Linked DNA regions of Drosophila melanogaster. The protein of the gene in region 4 interacts with the protein of the main gene of each other region in a pairwise test. Each region holds a gene or a part of one and is shown on either strand. Other genes may lie near its edges. The genes, in order: Fum2, CG31249, Awh and CG5111.

Region 1 (4,593 bases), on a different chromosome or scaffold from region 4:
GTTTTTGCGTCGCAAATAAATTTTCTGTTTGTGGGTGGTGGTGGTTGTGGTGCAGCTGCGGGGCGAAGTGTGGGGGCGGTGGTGGCAGAACTACAAGGCGAAATCGTCGAATCGAAAGGGTTTATTTTTGCAATGATTATCCAAAGATATATCGCCTTTTTCGATATCTGTGTGGGCTAGACTGATTTTGGGCTATTTTCAACTGAACAAAACGATTAATTTACGACCTCCAACTTGCCTGGCAGCCAATTTTTAATGTAATGCGCCTACTTCAACGTTTCGTTTCGATTCGATTTGGTCGTTAGATAATCGCTGGTCAGCTGGATCTTTTCATTTGTCACGGAAAATGTGCGCCGCAATAAACACTTGTTTAAAAGCTTGCTTTGCTTATATTTCGCTATAAAATAATAGCTAAGTGTGCAAGAATTTACGATAAAAACAACGGAATAATTTAGAAACAGCAAGGCGTTAGTGTGACCACACTTACGGTATATCTTTAGAATCGATAATGACTATCGCGTAGTGTGGACTCGAATCATTTGGAGAATTCAAAAACTAAAAACCGTTATTCACCTGCCGTAAAATCAACAAATTAATACAATCTATTGAAATATCCTGCTACACACAAAAATTTATTACACGAAACTAAAACAAAATCGTCAATAGCCGCACAGCGAATCACTTCGGTCCCAGCATCTCCTTGGGATTGACCCACTCCTTGAACTGCTCTTCGGTAATTCCGGTCTTCAGTGCCTCCTCCTTCAAGGTCGTCTTATTCTTGTGCGCCGTCTTGGCGATCAGGGCGGCCTTGTCATAGCCAATGTGCGGATTCAGCGCGGTCACCAGCATCAAGGACTCGTTCATGATCTTGTCGATCCTCTCCTTGTTGGCCTGCAGTCCCTCCACGCAGTTCTTGCTGAAGGTCATGCTGCCATCAGCTGGGAGGAGAAGGTTATGTATGCATGTTTTTCCACTTGGAAAACACATTTCCGACTCACCCAACAAGCGAATGGAGCGCAGCACATTGGACACGACCAGGGGTTTGAATACATTTAGCTCGAAGTGCCCGTTGGAGCCGCCGATGGTCACCGCCACCTGATTGCCCATCACCTGGGCACACAGCATGGTCATTGATTCGCATTGCGTGGGATTCACCTTGCCGGGCATGATGGAGCTACCGGGCTCGTTCTCCGGCAGCATTAGTTCGCCCAGACCGCAACGCGGACCCGATCCCAGCAATCGGATATCGTTGGCGATCTTCATCAGGCTGACGGCGATCGTGTTGAGCACACCATGCACCTCCACCATGGCATCGCGGGCAGCCAGTGCCTCGAACTTGTTGGGCGCCGACACGAAGGGCAAGCAGGTTAGCTCCGAAATGCGCTTGGCCACCTTCTCGGCGAATCCCTTGCGTGTGTTCAGACCCGTACCCACAGCAGTGCCGCCCAGAGCCAGCTCATAGACGCGCGGCAGACAGCCCTTGATCCTTTCCAGACCGTTGGTCAACTGCTGTGTATAACCGCTGAATTCCTGGCCCAAAGTCAGCGGAACTGCGTCCATCAAGTGGGTGCGTCCGATCTTGATGATGTCCTTGAACTCATCCGACTTGGACTTGAGGGCATCCCTCAAGTGTGTAACCGCCGGAACAAGCCGCTCGTTCAGCTCCATGCCCACCGAAATGTGAATGGCCGTGGGGAAGGTGTCGTTGGAGCTCTGCGACTTGTTCACATGATCGTTGGGATGCACCGGCTTCTTGCTGCCCAGTTCGCCGCCCATCATCTTAATGGCCGCATTGCTGATCACCTAGTAGGTTTGCCAATGGCATGGGGCAGGAGAAGCATCCAGCTATACACATTTCTCTCGTTAGCCCTATCTAACAATCTTACCTCGTTGGTGTTCATATTGGTCTGGGTGCCCGAACCGGTTTGCCAGATGACCAATGGGAAGTGACCCTGTTTGTATAGCTTGCCGGAAATGACATCGTCGCAGGCGCAGGATACGGCATCCGACACCTTGCCATCTAGTCCGTAATCCTTGTTGACCTCGGCACATGCCTTCTTCAGTATGCCCATGGCCTGGATCACCGGCATCTGCGGGCAGTTTGGGGATTAATTGGCTATGGCAAAGCACTTGGTAGATGCCAGAATATGTTGGTTGGTTGGTTGGTTGCCTACCGGCATACGTTCGCCTATGTCGCCAATGGGAAAATTCAATTTGGAGCGCATCGTCTGTGCGCCGTACAGCTTGTCCGCCGGCACCTTTAGCTCCCCGAAGGTGTCCTTCTCCGTACGAAACTTGCCATTCTCCTTGCCCTTGCCGCCCTTACCGCCACTGTCGCACTGCAAAGATGCCCCATGTAGCCATGAGTTGCCAGCGACCATTGTCGCGTACTTACATCCTTGGCACGGAGGCCACTGCAAACCACCCAGAGATTGCGCCTAGCCAGATGCAGACCATTGTTTTGCTTCAGCATTTTCAATTATTATTGGTTCTGTGTTTCCGAGCGATTCATATACAACAAAACGATCTGATCTAGAAAATCACACTGCGATTCCGATGACAGCGATGATTGAATGATGGATTTCGTCGTCGGCCTACTTGGCTCCACTTCACTTGGGTCCCAGCATCTGTTCGGGTCGCACCCAGTCGTTGAACTGCTGCTCCGTCAGGTAACCCAAATTGATGGCCTCCTCCTTGAGTGTGGTGCCATTCTTGTGCGCCGTCTTTGCAATTTTCGCAGCCTTGTCGTAACCAATGTGCGGATTCAGAGCGGTCACCAGCATGAGCGACTCGTTCATGATCTTGGCAATATTCTCGCGGTTCGCCTGGATGCCATTCACACAGTTGGCAGTGAAGGTCCTGCTGCCATCAGCTACAAAAAGGAATAGATTCGATTGATTTGGCGTTCCACCAAGGGTGGGTAATAGGTAGCTTACACAATAGCCGAATGGAGCGCAGCACATTGGACACGATCAGGGGCTTGAATACATTCAGCTCGAAGTGCCCATTGGATCCACCGATGGTCACCGCCACCTGATTGCCCATCACCTGGGCGGAGAGCATTGTCAGCGACTCGCATTGCGTGGGATTCACCTTGCCGGGCATGATGGAGCTACCTGGCTCGTTCTCCGGTAGCGAGAGCTCACCCAAACCGCAACGCGGTCCGGAGCCAAGGAAACGAATATCGTTGGCAATCTTCATCAGGCTAACGGCGATCGTGTTGAGCACACCATGCACCTCCACCATGGCATCGCGGGCAGCCAGTGCCTCGAACTTGTTGGGCGCGGTAACGAAGGGCAGGCTGGTCAGCTCGGCGATCTTTGCAGCGCACTTCTCGGCGAATCCCTTGCGTGTGTTCAGACCCGTACCCACAGCAGTGCCGCCCAGAGCCAGCTCATAGACGCGCGGCAGACAGGCATCGATGCGCTCCTGGGCGTAGGCCAATTGCTGGGCATAGCCGCTGAACTCTTGGCCCAGCGTCAATGGCACCGCATCCATCGTATGCGTGCGTCCGATCTTGATAATGTCCTTGAACTCCTCCGACTTGGCACGCAGCGCATCGTGCAGCGTCTTAATCGCCGGCTTAAGGTTGTTGTTCAGCTCCAGCGCCACCGAGATGTGAATGGCGGTGGGGAAGGTATCGTTGGAGCTCTGCGATTTGTTCACATGATCGTTGGGATGCACGGGCGTCTTGGAGCCCAGTTTGCCGCCCAGCAGCTCAATGGCACGATTGCTGATCACCTTGAGAGTTAGAGAGTTAGAGGAGATTTGAGAATAGTGCAAATGAAACAAATGACCGCTCATGCCCACCTCATTCACATTCATGTTGCTCTGCGTGCCCGAGCCCGTCTGCCAGATGACCAGCGGGAAGTGGTCGTCGTATAGCTTGCCAGAGATCACATCGTCGGCCGCCTTCGAGATCGCCTCGCTAACCTTGCTGTCCAGTCCGAACTCCTTGTTCACCTCGGCGGCGGCCTTCTTCAGGATGCCCATGGCCTGGACCACGGGTTTCTGGCGGGGATTAACGAGAGTTTTAGTTGCTTTCAATGTGTTTTCTTCTTATTTTTTACTTTACGCAACATACTTGTGTGTTATGTTAATGTAGTTAATACATTTTTTAGACTTTAACTTTCTATAGACTCTGAATTACAATGAACAAACTCATTGAACTAGCATTCACCATTTGTTCTGCTTTCTGTAATAGAAGCTTAATTTAAGCCATATTTTACTTAGTAATTAGCTAGACCTTGCTGCTTTTTGAACCTTCAATGCTGACTTTTAAATACTTTCGAAAGATTTACGTGAGAATTATATGTATACGTAGATGGAGGCAGTGGGGGGCACTACTTACGGGCATCCGTTCGGTGGCTCCGCCGATGGGGAAATTGATCTGGGATCGCATCGTTTGGGCGCCATAGTACTTATCCGCGGGCACCTTCAGTTCGCCAAAGGTGTCGCTCTCCACGCGAAACTCCTGGGAGGCCTGTCGATGCGAATGAATCCGATAAGAATGGCTATAATTATCAGTAAGTAAACACAGGGGCAGACCATTTCAGATGCAGATATGACAGATAGTAAGTAAGTGAAGCCAAA
Region 2 (4,006 bases), 7.8 Mb from region 4:
CAAACTTGGTATATCGATAGTTGTCGCCTTATTTTCCAAATCCATTCCCAAATTGTTATTATTGAAATAATTTTAAAAATGATCGGTAGACTTTCTTTTTGGAACAAGGACAACGTTTCCAACGAGGTGGACTGCTTGGCCTGCCGTCTGGTCAGTGGCCTTGGACTCCTGGGAATTGGTGCCTTCCTATTGGCACAGTCGAAAAAAAGACAAGCGAAACCTCTGGAGAATTTCACTATGAAAGGCTTGGCTGCAGGTGAGCCACTTGGGATCTTAAATCCGGTCTTATGTTTACTCCTTTCTCCTTCGTCGCCATAGCCGTTGGAGTTCTGGGCGTGGCCCGCCTGGCAGACGCGAATTTCCTGAAGGCAACCGCCGAGAAGCCAAAAGAACAGGAAAATACTAGCACTGATCATCAGTTCTTTTCTAGACGTTAATTCAATGACGTTTTAATTATAATCGTAGAGTCACTTAATATATAAAGGTTAATGTTTTCTTTTGTACGACCATGTGGCATTACAATAATATAGCTGTAACCTTGTTTTTAGAATTTTTTCTATTTAAAATCGTTGAAAACAAAACCTTGTTTGCTTTAATGAATTTATGATTTATTTTAAATAAATTAATTACATAGGCATACACAATATTGCATCTTTTGAAAGAGGATCATAAATAAACATATGTTTGTATTAATAATAATATTATAAAATATCAACAGGATTCTTATTTTATAGCTTTCAAAAAAGGTGTTTGCTTGTTCATAGCTTGGCTGTTGATCTATCTATTGATTTCTGCTAAATGTTGTTGCTTGGCTTTAAAGGATATTTTATAGATGCAATTTTAAAACTTTTATGTTCTTTATGTCCTTTTATGTTATATTGTGTCGATTGCGTTCCTTTACTGTTAATCGTCTAGAATCCCACTTTCCCCAGCTTGGTATCAGTCTTTGGATTGGCCGTGATGTTCTGCACCGCCACAATGGTCTCATTGATGTGTGTCTGCAGCTCGCGTAGGCTCTGGATCTGGAGAAGACGTAGTATGCGCATGGGCAGGTCCAGGGCAGAGTCGTTGGACGAGACGACGTCGTTTCCCTTGTCAAAAGGGAAGGGTTTACCCACTACCGGCTTGCGATCCTTGGCGGCGGGCGAGAGGCGTTCGTGCACCACGCGAGCGATAGCCTCCAGCTGCAACAGATGGTTCGGGTGGTGCGGCACATTCAGTTTGCTGGCCAGCAGCCGGACTCCATCCACGAACGCTTTTTCCTGAGCTGGTGGGAAGAAAGAATTAATACTTGTTGTACTTTACCTGATTATCATCTATAGATAATAAAAGTGGTTTTTGGAACCTCTTAAAAAATCCATAATATATAAATTTAAAGTTCCTTAAATGGTAAATTTAGTTAAAATCAGACCATACTATTAATATTTCCATCGAAAATAGCCTGGACCCTTTGTTGGGACTGCTTGCCATTGCTTTGGGGTGGCACCTGTTTGGTGTTAATCGAGGCAAACTGATCAGGATCATCGAGGAAGTCCAGGCGCACAGCATAGCTGACAATCCAGGCCAGCTGCTCCTGCCGCGTCTCCAGGGGCGGCATGCTCAAATCGGCACAGTACTTTAAGTAACCCTCCTTCCAGATCTCAGGGTTGTCGACAGTGCGCAGCTTACAGCGATCCTCTATGGAGTAAAGCCGGATCTTCTGGTCCTCCAACCAGAGGACTGTGTTGGCGAATTCCTTGCGGTCTGCGGAACGAAAAGAATGGGATGACTTATAGCCCCATCAGGAAAACTAGACAATTACCGCTCATCACCACCGGGATGTCAACATCGGGACGACCCAGTACCTCGAGTTTCATCTTGAGCGACAGCATGCTTTCAACGGATTACTATACAAAAATCGATTCGCTCTGTTAATTTACAAAAAATGTTACAGCCGGCTGTGCTTATTCTTATCGCCCAAATTTAAGGGATGGAACATTAAACGAGAGGACTTATCGACGTAGAAATTGGGCTGCCAACTTGCTGTGATAAAGCTGTTCGAATTTAATAATCTCGAAAAAGTATCGATATATAATTTTTAAATCAAATATTTTGTAAGAAACTACTTACTGTCAAAAAGTATTTTTTCCGATAATTATTTTTTTGCACATCATATTATTCAATTAATTGAAGAACTATTAATACAATTTTAAAGCTCTTCATTGACCGATTAAAATTGTCAATTAATTAAAAAAGTCAAATTTATCCCGGAACACGCGAATTCTTAATATTAATGTAAGTTCTTTTAAAATTGATTTTTGAAATTGTAAATTTGAACAAATTGACATTGTAAATACAATGCACAAATTCCCAATCGAGTAACATCGACCTCAATGCTGAAAGTACAGCCTAATAACAGACAAAAGATCTTGTTACTAGACATTTTTGAAAACCTAGACATGGTATTTAGGTGCTCAATTGCATATTATCTCGAATATACATTTATATAATAATCTTTCGCTCAACAGTGAATGTCCTACGCTGAACAGAAGCAATATAGTTTATAATAATATAATAAGAAATATTTTGGGAATGCGTTACCATAGGATTCATCAATCTGACCAATTGATTTGCACTGAAAAAATCGAAATGAGTTCTAAAAAGTATTTCCCCGCCAAAAAATATTTTTCCCTTATCAGCGATAAGAAACGACAAGTACAAAGGCTGTATTGTATATCATATATGTATGTATATTAATTAAATAATTAAATTAAGTTTGAGGGACATACATTTACATCCTAGCAAATTATAGACTAATAACTACACGTTATATATCGAGATGCTGAGTTATAATATTTGTTTGCAAACAACTACACGAATACACGTATCAACAGCAGCAGTTTCCTATTATCTCCCAATATCTTGCAGTTCCTCTGGATCCAGAGGATCGCCACCGGAAACCGGAAGGACCTCTAGACTTGCTCATGCCAGAATCTGGAGACATTTCATTTTCGATCTCTTATGTAGCACGTTAATTATGTGTGAGAAAGTTTAGTATACAAATTGGTGCACCCACCCATGTATGGTTTTGCATTAATTGTTTATTGGTTTCCTAACGCCAAGCATTTTGGGTGTGGGTGTGGATGTGTGGTTATTAGTCCTTTTTGCGTGCTTCTCTACAGCTTTAGTTCGATTTGCTTCGCTTTGTGTTTTATAGCATTTTATGGTTTCGTTTTGTTTTGCTTTGTTTTCTTGGTTTTATTTGTTTTGCATTTTAAATTAAGATTAAGATAAAAACCTAATTATTTATCTTGTCATTTACGCCTTAAGTAAGTTCGATATAAAATAAAACGAAGCAGCAGCACTTCCAGCAAATAATACAGTTAACATAAGATTACAGCATTAGGGTTTCATTTTTTCGATTTTTCATGTTTCGTTTATATTAATTATGTATGTATATGTTATGTATTTTTATATATTATATCACCTAATTTGATTTCAATTTAAATTGTTTGCTTGCCTTCATCTGAGGGTTTTTCATTTTTGCTTGTTTGCTTGTTTCTCTCGCTTAATTTCATTTCCATTCGCCTCCGAGTTATGCGATTAAAACTAAGAAGTTGGAATTTTCGCAGCCCATCAATACATCATACAACATCATACACATAAACATAATACAAAATGCAGTGCTGCCACTTACATGTGCCTTGTAACATTGCGTAAAAACAAAAATACAGTGAAATTTACATAATAGTTAAGTATGTACAATGGTTTTTAGTCATCTCTAAGGATTCGTCCTTCTGCAACATTTAGACCACATTGAATCCAATAAACTGCCTTATATACGTGTTGCTTTTAAATATTTCCGCGTGAACTTTGGTGTTCGTTCAGTTCGATCAGTTTATGAGTTCCTATGCTGCACATTGTGGTAATATGTAGGTATTAGTAAGTGGTAGAATTTAAAAACTATCCTCTATGTATTTATATATCAATGTCTAGATGTACGTATGTATGCATTCATCCCTTTTAC
Region 3 (4,904 bases), on a different chromosome or scaffold from region 4:
TCTTCCTTGATTTCTTTTTTTTTTTTTTTTTTTGAGTTGCCGGCAGACAGGAGTGGCAATGATTTGTGGCATTTTACAATTTTACAGGCCCAAGGGCCATGCATCATTTGTAGGCCAACTAAGCGTCCTTTAAGGACTATTTTGTGGATGCACTCGAACGAACAATGGCAAGACACTCGACTCGCCTTCCATTGTGCGGTTTTGTGAGGACCTCTTGTGCCTCCTGCATTCGATGTTCATTCGAAGAGGACTTCTCGCATTTACCTGCTAAAAATGCTGCTGCGATTTTGACACATCTACCCAGCGATCTCTTCCTGCAATTCGCATGCGCAACCCGACTGAAAACTGACCAGGAACTCTGGCATCTATTGTCAATAGGTATGTACATACTACATATATGGATTCGAGGCCCAAAACAAAGGTGTGATATTTGTTTCTCTTTGTCCCTGATCGGGGCAATTGGCTCAAGTCAAGATGCATTTTCCGTTTGCCCATTGTTTTCCCAAGGAGACAAGAACCGAGGCGTAGACTTCTTGTCAGCGTTGACAATTAGGCATTTTCGACCAGTGGTCACAGGACACTCTTCAGAATGTCCTTTGTTTGGGAATCCAATTATTAGGGGGCTTGCTGAAAAATCTGCTGACCGCTGGCCAGGCAGCTGGTTTTGCAAAACATCCTTTTGGTAAGTAGGAAAATCTTGGCCATCGGCACGCGCTCCTTTTTTTGGTTTCTTGTGCGGGATTATGGGACAATGGAGTTAGGCGTGTAATCCTCAAAAGGTGTTTTGTCAAACACTCAAAGCTAATAAGTAGATGGAGATATAGAAAGTCAAATCCTAAAATCTCTGTAATCACTCTGTATTTTTAGTTCGCCTTCAAATACCCAATTGCCAATTAAAGAAAACTTTTTCGAACCGCAGATGGAGGCGTCAACGACTTCTTACACAAAACATTTTTGGTGTATCTATTTATGGGAGGTTTAGTTTTTTCCAATCTTTCAATTTTCTTGTGAATTATTAATGAAAAATCGATTATTGAAATATGTATATACGTTTTTTATAGCTGCTTCGCAGGCATTCGACATTTAAGCGCTTAAATATTTATGCCTTTTTTATATCTCTTTCTCCGACTGACTACCTAAGAGCAGGGAAAAAAAGACTCCATCTCCATACTTTGTTGAATATTCATAAGGCAGCGCCTAGTGGCGTCATTTTCGGATTTGGATTTGGATGATAAAGCGGGGCGGCGACATGTGGAAGGGGGGGGATCCACCAACATCTGGGCCGGGTCAAGATCGATGATGTCAAGAAAAGGTCTCTCGCCGAGAATCCCCCATGCCCCTTGACCATCGACGGCACCTCAGAACTGTTGACATTTGAGTTCTGGACTTCGAATTGTAAGCGGATCCCCCGCTGATCTGATTTTTCCCCCTATGACCGTGGTGCGTATAGAAATCTAGCTAAATAAAATCGGGCGATTAAAATTATATCGCAGAGCAATAAGCGTCAGCACCTTGTCCAATTTGCTATGGTAATGAAAATTATGCTCGTCGAACAAAGCCATGGTAAATCGATCATCGGCGAGCATAAATCATGATCGATTCTCTGCAGACTCATGGCAAATATTTTTCGAAAATCCTGTGGGTGGTTCACACACACAACAAAAAAAGCCCGTCGCACAGCGGGTGTAAAAATCGATTAAACGTTTTCGGACTGGGTATGAAATAAAATCAAAGTCAAAATCAAATTCGAAATTCAAAAACCAAAAAATATGTGTTGTTGAATGAACAAGGGATTGAGCAACATCATCTAGGCGACACGATCAATGCAATGTCTTGAAAAGATACAAAACAAAAAAAAAAAAAGGCCAAGTTGAATATGATTTTTGGGGTTTGGTTGCAGATACATCCGAATATCAGCCTTCATTTCACAGCCAATATTCGAGTAATACCCAAAAGTGTGGGCTGCGATCTGTGGCTTATTCGCTGAGTGTTTTCGATGGGAGGAACCCCACTGTGCGATTTGTGTGCTTTTCATATTCACCGCCCTGTGTCGTCTCCATATTTTTGAAAACTCATCGTTTTCCAGCCGCTATTAGTGTGCTGGCTTTTTCGAATTGAATTGAAACTGTTTTGCTCCGGTTTTTGTCTTAACTCCGGCTCACTTCTTTTTTTACTCCCAATGGTCGAGCAAACGCCGCCTGTTGCGTTTTCTGGCCCAATATGCTCGCAGCGGGCTAGGAAACTTTACATAAAAAACTGATTTGTGGGTCACTCGGGGTCTACTGGACTTTATGTCCAGCAATTAAAAAGGAAAGCAGAAACTTCATTTTGAGGGGGTGTGCAAACAGACCGCTCAAACGCCGAGCAATACGGGTGGAACATGCAACACTTACAGTCTAATTTAATAGAGAATATTAAAGACTAACTTTATTCAAAAATGTAGAAATTTATAATACACAGACTGATAACTTTCCTCTTTCCAATAGCAATAAAGTTGATTTTTTACAACTCAATCTATCTTTTTATAAAGCAATCGAGACTCACCTTCATTTTAATTGCCTCCACAATTTTGGCGGTTGTTAATCCAAGTATCTTGCTCGAAAATCTGTCGCCAGCTTTAGCCTGGGAATCGATATCGAGCCCGATCGCAGCCAGTATGAGGAGATATAGATGATAAAGACGACGACTTGATCAGTTTGTCAAGCGTCCCACGGAAGCCGCCGTCTGCATAGGATGCTTATATAATCGTATTCTTAAACCAGATCTATTAATAACCAGTGTAAATTCGCATATCCGAGATAGAAATCAATTTGCAGGCGCTTGCAACATTTTTTTTGTTTTTGATTAGCACATTCGATAACAGTTCACTTTCTTAGCCGACGGCGAATGTTGCGTTTCGATTTCAATAATATAATGTGCGACACCTTATGGCATGGAATACTCGTAGAACCTTATCACGATAACACGTTTCACTGCAGATACTCTGAGCGCTTCTCGCTTTTCTCGTGACGGAGCGGAGCGGATCGAGCGGATCGAGCGGACGCGAGATGTTGTTACAGCTTCGAGGCCACTGCGTTAACTGCCGGCGCTCGGGGTTCGAGCTCAGGGATCTGGTGGTGGTGCTCAACTGGCTCGGCTCACGCCCGGTTTCCATATGCTCATGGCATGCCCGCCACCACCACAGGTATGATGATGAACCAGCCGTACGCACAACCACAACCACCAGTCAGTCCCATTCGAAACTCGACTCGAGAACTCGCTCAACTGGTTTTTGAGCGCACATCTGTCGTCGGCGCAACGGGAATGGTGGTGATTGGCCCGCCTGGCCACGCCCCTTTGCGCCCCGCATAACGAGTTCCGCAGTGGTGTCCCCCATTTTGAGTGCTTTCCCAGTCCGCGCCGCCTGTGCACCAATTGAGTGCGCCGGCGCGTGCCAACTTGGCCACTTGAATCGAGTCGAAACTCGGAGTGAAATCGTGCCGCGAATTGGGTGGGTGTTGCTCTGGTGACGATGTTGCCATTTCTACTGATATGGCTGTTACTCGAAGGAATTTCTGTCATATTGCTGGTGCTTTCGATGTTGTTGCTGCTGTTTTTGAGACTCGTGTGGCTGCTGTTACTGTATCTTTTGTTCTTTATAAAGCAGTATCTGTTGTAGCAGCTTTTCCTAGAAAAGATTTCACTGTTGTGGTTACTTTTGCCTAGAAAAGCTACCAATGTTGCTCCTGTTGCAGTTGTAACAGTTGTCATGCTGCTGCGTTTACTGGAACAGATGTTGCTTCTAACTCTTTTGCTTTTACTCAGGATATTTCCACTTAAGATTCTCCTTGAATTGTTGTGCCTTTCAATAATATTGCTGTTGTTACTGCCACTTTTGCTTTTTCAAGTAAGTATATTGTTGTTACTATAATTTTCACCGTGACTTCAACTGATGTTACTGTCATTTCTGCTTTTCCTGCTGACTTTTTTGCTGCCTGAGTGAGTAAAAGTCCAGGAAAACCCGAATATCGAGGGAGGAAGTAAGGGAGAGGGAAAACGGAACTCGAGCTCCGCCGCACTTGACTTTTTGGGGTCAAACCGCTTGATGGAGGGGAAGTGAGTTGATGCCAGTGGATGCTGCTGTCTTTTCGGTTATATATTTTTTATTTCTGTTGGCTGTTTGTGATGGCATGCCAAACATGATAGCGCAGCAGACTGACTCAAAGAAAAAAAGGTTTAAAGTTAAAAACATTTTATTTTATTTAACATAAAATTAAATTGCATGGCTTTAACAATAATAATATAACAACAATAACAATATATTGCTTTTATATTAATACTTTTAAAGAAAGTACTATTATTAATGATTCCTTGGTGCTAAATAACTCTTCAAGTTACTCCAGTTTCCTTTGTCCCCTTTATACTTTGATTTAAGCCTGAGTTTAAGCTTTATGTGCAACACCGATCCCCTTGAGGATTTCCATTTCGAGCACTTTAACCATTACTTTGCACCATTTTTCATTCACTGTCTCTTTGATCGTGGGCTGTCTCTTAAAGCCGCTTGGCATTCAATTGGCATTTGGCTGTCGCCATCATCCAGTCGAGTGGCCCCCACCGCCTCCTCCTTCGCCAATCCTTCTGCCTGCCCCCGTTTTTTTTACCACTTTTTCTCCGCTTTTTGCTTTGCTCACGTTATTTAAGGATTAACATCATTTTATGGTGCCTCGCAATGCCTTTTTTGCAGGATTAAATGCTGCTGCCTGCTGGCTCTCGTTCTCCTGTCACTGCACTGGAAAAAAATTAATATATCTTTAAACTGTTCTATACTTAAATAAAAGCTTCAAGCTTAAAGTTAACCATTTATAGAAATATCTGTCATAAAACCTGCAAACTGCTTTAGGGTATTGTCATTTGTTGTTTAATTT
Region 4 (4,403 bases):
TGAAATGCTCGATTTAGCCGTGAAGAAGCGAAGGAAATCGCAGTCAAGTGAAAATGTCAGCCACTCAAAATGTGTGCGCCATTTCGCATATATAATAAATCAACGTAAACCGAAAAAAAAAAAACACGAAATGAAGAAAGAAATGGAAGAGTGAAATAAGCTGAGCGGAGTTTATTTTAGGTTTAACGATTTGGAAATAACGCCACAAAACAGGACGACAAATTATTTGGCCATCATCTGCAGAACTTTCGCATGGCATTGGCAGATTGGCGAGAGGGTCTGAAAACTTATTAATTTTCACAAAGTCAGCCACACGCAAAGAGCACGCGCACACACACACATACACAAAATTGTGAAAAACTGTGACGTTATGCACATGAGTGAGCAAATAGCAGCAGCCACATCAGCAACCAAAATGCATAGCATACTTTGCTGGGCAATAAGTATTTGAGTTTTTGAAGGGACGCACTATAAGCTGGATTTTTTTTATTTTTTTTTTATTTAATTGACTAGCTGTTATGTTATTAATTTTGGCCACAAAAAGGTACCATTCAGACTATAGTGGAATGGCTGTGAAATGAAATGGTAACATGGTGAGAAAAGATGTTAAAAATATAACAAAGCAACAATAAATATTTGTACGTACTTATTTATTGCCTGTTTTTTGATTTACAAATATTTAAAAAAAATCTTATTTTTTTCTTATTAGCCCTCGAGCAAACGTTTATACTCGATCAGAATTTGCTCCTCCTGATCCAAGGGCAAGTTTAAGTAGTGGTTGTTGTTCTCGGCGAGGTTCTCGTTGAATCTCTTGAAGGCATTGTAAGACTCAATCTCCGACTTGGCCTCGCTAAGGACAGTCTGGAGCAAGTTCACCTTGCTGTTGGATAAGTTTACGAGTGGGGTGGTGCTATTTGCAGTCGCATTAGTTGAGCTCGTAGGTTCTTGAACCTCCAAAACTTTTGTCATGGTTTCAATAACATGAAGTAATTCCGATTCGTTGGGGAAACTTTTCAATAGAAATTTCAGAGATTTATGGAAACTGTTGCCCGTAGTTTCCAAAGCATCTCGAGCGGAAATCTCCGAAAATCCAAGGTGCTGTAGAGTAGTAAGTAACGATTCATCGACAGGAGGAATGGGCGGCAGATTGGCCCTAAGTTCATCTGAATGACGCTGCAGTAGATCCAAACTGCGATCGAGATTATTTTTGGTCCTCTTCAGAGCCTCCACAACCAAACGCCTTTCGTAGCCCATTTCCATGAGCCTAATAATGCTGCGTGGATTGACCCATTCTCCTCCTTGACCGGCGAAAATCATCTCTTGGTTGACTTGCCTCTCGGCAGCCGAGTTCTTTCGCTCCTCACTGATTCTCTCGCTGCGTTCCTGGATATATTGAATGGCCCTATCCACTTGGCCCGCACAGGATCTCAAGGCCAACCTGGCATCCGATTCCTCATAGCCCATTTCAACGAGAGTGCTTAGCTCAGTGTCATTCATCTTGACCTCATACAAGTCCTTTGTCGCCACCTCCAGTTTTTCGTAGGCCTCATCCCGGCGATTTTGGTGAAAGAGGAGCACACCTTGGAGCAGGTGCAGTCTCATGATCAAAGCTCTTTCCGGGCTACTTGGACCCTTAATCGAGAACAATCGAATGAACTGCTCGCCATAGCTCTTGACAAAGCCCCTCTCGCAAATATCCAAACGTCGCTGTGCATCTGGCAGTTGGGTGATGTTCTTCAGGCGCAGATAGCACCAAACAATATCTAGATTGATTAAGGCATAGTTATCCACTCCTTCCAGGAGCTTTGAGTCACATTGGGAGAAGAGTTCATCGGCCTCGAGTAGGATGAGTAGAGCCTCATCGAAGTTCTCCTTATGCATGGCAACTCTGGCCACTTCGTACATGCTCATGGCCATCAATAGGGATCGATTTTCCTCGCGTGGCAAGAAAATTGGACGTCCATCCTGATCCTCCATTTCCATAAAGCGATCTGCATCCGCAACTAACTCCAAGTCCGCACGAATCCTTTGGATACGTTCGTGCAACTCCTGACCTTCATTAGTTCCACCCACAACCACCATGAGGTGCTGATTGGTTTTGAGCCCCTGCGAGGCCAGTGTCTTCTGCCCATTGATGATGCGTCCTCCGGAGATGCATTTCACATGACTGGAATCAACGATATCCAACTTCTTGGCCACCTCAGCTTGCAGATCCGAGCCCAGTCCACCCAGCGAACACTTGATCTCCAGCATTTGCACGGTGCCACCCTTGCTGTCCACACACCGCACATTGAACGTGGCCAATCCGGTGTCATTGAACTCTCGGCGAGCCGCCAGCTTCCGCAAGGCACCATCTTGCAATTCGCCCAAGGCAATTCTGCAGTCCGACACACTGATGCCCAGTTCGCCACTGATGTCCCTGGCCAGGCGGTCCATCTCCGACTCGATGCTGCCCACCTCCTCGAAGTAGTACGGCTCCTCCCACAACTTGATATCACGCTCCCGCAGACGAGCTCGCAGCTTAATGAATATATTGTTTATCTGGGACATGTTTCGTGCTGTCGTGCCCGAATCGAACTAAATAATTTCTAAATTTATGACGAACATTTTCAACTCTGACAGTGCTCTTTCAGTGTTACCTTAACATCTGTTTTTGCTAAATGCTAAAAAATGCTAAATTATTATAAATTCAGAGACGTAAGTTAAATCCCTTTAATTGCAATTTATAATTAATTACAATTAATTTTCCATATCAGTATAAAGCTGTTCAAGAACCCTCTCTAGATACCGATTGTATTTATTAACGAATCTTAATCGAATCGCTTCAGTTCGGCTCATAGTTGGAAATTGAAGTTATCTTATCATAATGAAACAAAATTTATTTTCAATCAAATCACTATATTATTGTTCATAGGTTGTTGGGAACAAAGGCTCGAGAATTGAAATCTAATCTGCTGTAAGCTTAAGAGTTTTTTATTTTTTAATAATAATATATTTACATAGACTCGATGCAGACATCAATGTTGGGCAGAAAAGAGTTAAAGGACGCTGTAACTTTATTGGTGGCATTTACGAAGCAGGAACTGGTATCGGCTGGCAATTTGGCAATCAGTTTTAGGGTTTTATTGATCTTTCGGGTCAGCCTCATGGATGCCTTGAACAATTTCCAGAAGCATTTGGCCGAGTTTTTGATGGACGAGCCCACGGACTTATCCGTGGCACAAAGTTTCGAATGCAGATGCAAAATATCGTCGCAGATTTTGATAATCTCCTTAACGGAGTCCACAATCTTGGCCACATCCTTGGGAATGGCAGTGCCACAGGCATCAATAGCATCCACATAGCTGGTGCATGAACTAAGGATGTTTGTCACCTCCTTGATAATACAGTTGGTGCCTCGAACCGTTTTCAATGCCTTGCGAAGGATTTTAAGGCATGTTCTAATAAAGCCCTGTGCCTCCACATCCATGTAGTCAGTGTCATTGTCCAGTTCATCCAGCAACTGCTCCAATTCCGATTCAAAGTCGAAATCATAGTCGAAGTTCTCGTTCTCCAGCAATTCTATTGCATTGGCCTGAAACAAAGAAATATTTATTATATTTAAGTTAATTTTTTTTTAATTGGCAAATCTTACCCGCGTGGTCAGCAGACAGGTGGCCGAAACCAGAACCAAAAGGCAAACGGTGATGGCTTTCATTTTACTGTCCAATTAATAATATTTTCTCGGCCAGTAGTGAAGATCAGTTTATATACCCGCTGAAAACTACGTCTTATCAGAAATTAATCGAATTGCCCACTCCAACTATCTAATACCTTTTTTTTATACGGCTATCATCTAGAAATGTGTAATCAATCTACCTACCTCAAAAGTACTTATATGTATCTATCTATCAGCACTTATCAGCCACTTAAGATACTTAAAATATACATTTTCGATCGGTTAATTTTCATATTGCTCAATTGAAGTGTTTTAAATGAATACAAATCTGAAATGATTAATTAATTTTCCCATTTAAATGCAAACGAAATGTACGCTCTAAAAATGTCGAATATTTTTCTTGTGGCAATTATCACACAATATCCGTTGATGTCAGTGCGAAATTCACTTGGGCACCCTTAAGAATCGAGGCTCAGAACGAATTAAAAGCCATAAACCGCAGACAAAGAGGAAAAGAACCACAATTGAATGGTGGCTGCCACCAGATTTTCCGGGCACAATAGACGGCAAAAGGAAAAAAATTTGTTGCCATTGTCAGCTTAACGCGCTCGGTTCACTTTGTTCGGGTTATAAATGGTAACGTGTGGTTAAGGGTTAATAACTCCCACTAGGGGTGTGTGGAAAATAAGACACTGCCACCAGGTCCAAGACATTTCCAACATACAAAAGAAAGTTTCCGGCTACC

What was found.
Region 1: the proteins of CG5111 (region 4) and Fum2 interact in a two-hybrid assay, tested with the Drosophila melanogaster proteins (one large-scale study listed by BioGRID).
Region 2: the proteins of CG5111 (region 4) and CG31249 interact in a two-hybrid assay, tested with the Drosophila melanogaster proteins (one large-scale study listed by BioGRID).
Region 3: the proteins of CG5111 (region 4) and Awh interact in a two-hybrid assay, tested with the Drosophila melanogaster proteins (one large-scale study listed by BioGRID).

What each region holds. Positions count from the first base shown.
Region 1 is NC_004354.4:6,679,716-6,684,308, reverse strand, and holds Fum2 (fumarase 2), read right to left. Parts: upstream 2,543-4,593; 5' UTR 2,474-2,542; coding exon 2,396-2,473; intron 2,340-2,395; coding exon 2,175-2,339; intron 2,091-2,174; coding exon 1,887-2,090; intron 1,804-1,886; coding exon 999-1,803; intron 939-998; coding exon 679-938; 3' UTR 613-678; downstream 1-612. Other genes in the region: Fum1 (fumarase 1), read right to left, coding at 2,610-2,872, 2,937-3,741, 3,811-4,011, 4,352-4,483.
Region 2 is NT_033777.3:17,685,095-17,689,100, forward strand, and holds CG31249 (uncharacterized protein), read right to left. Parts: upstream 1,978-4,006; 5' UTR 1,872-1,977; coding exon 1,802-1,871; intron 1,744-1,801; coding exon 1,417-1,743; intron 1,268-1,416; coding exon 912-1,267; 3' UTR 595-911; downstream 1-594. Other genes in the region: CG31360 (uncharacterized protein), read left to right, coding at 79-256, 319-437.
Region 3 is NT_037436.4:3,844,388-3,849,291, reverse strand, and holds the start of Awh (arrowhead), read right to left. Parts: upstream 3,087-4,904; 5' UTR 2,551-3,086; coding exon 2,545-2,550; intron 1-2,544. UniProt on the Drosophila melanogaster protein: Probable transcription factor. Required for the establishment of a subset of imaginal tissues: the abdominal histoblasts and the salivary gland imaginal rings.
Region 4 is NT_033777.3:25,504,511-25,508,913, reverse strand, and holds CG5111 (uncharacterized protein), read right to left. Parts: upstream 2,640-4,403; 5' UTR 2,551-2,639; coding exon 706-2,550; 3' UTR 635-705; downstream 1-634. Other genes in the region: CG5107 (uncharacterized protein), read right to left, coding at 2,996-3,574, 3,635-3,697.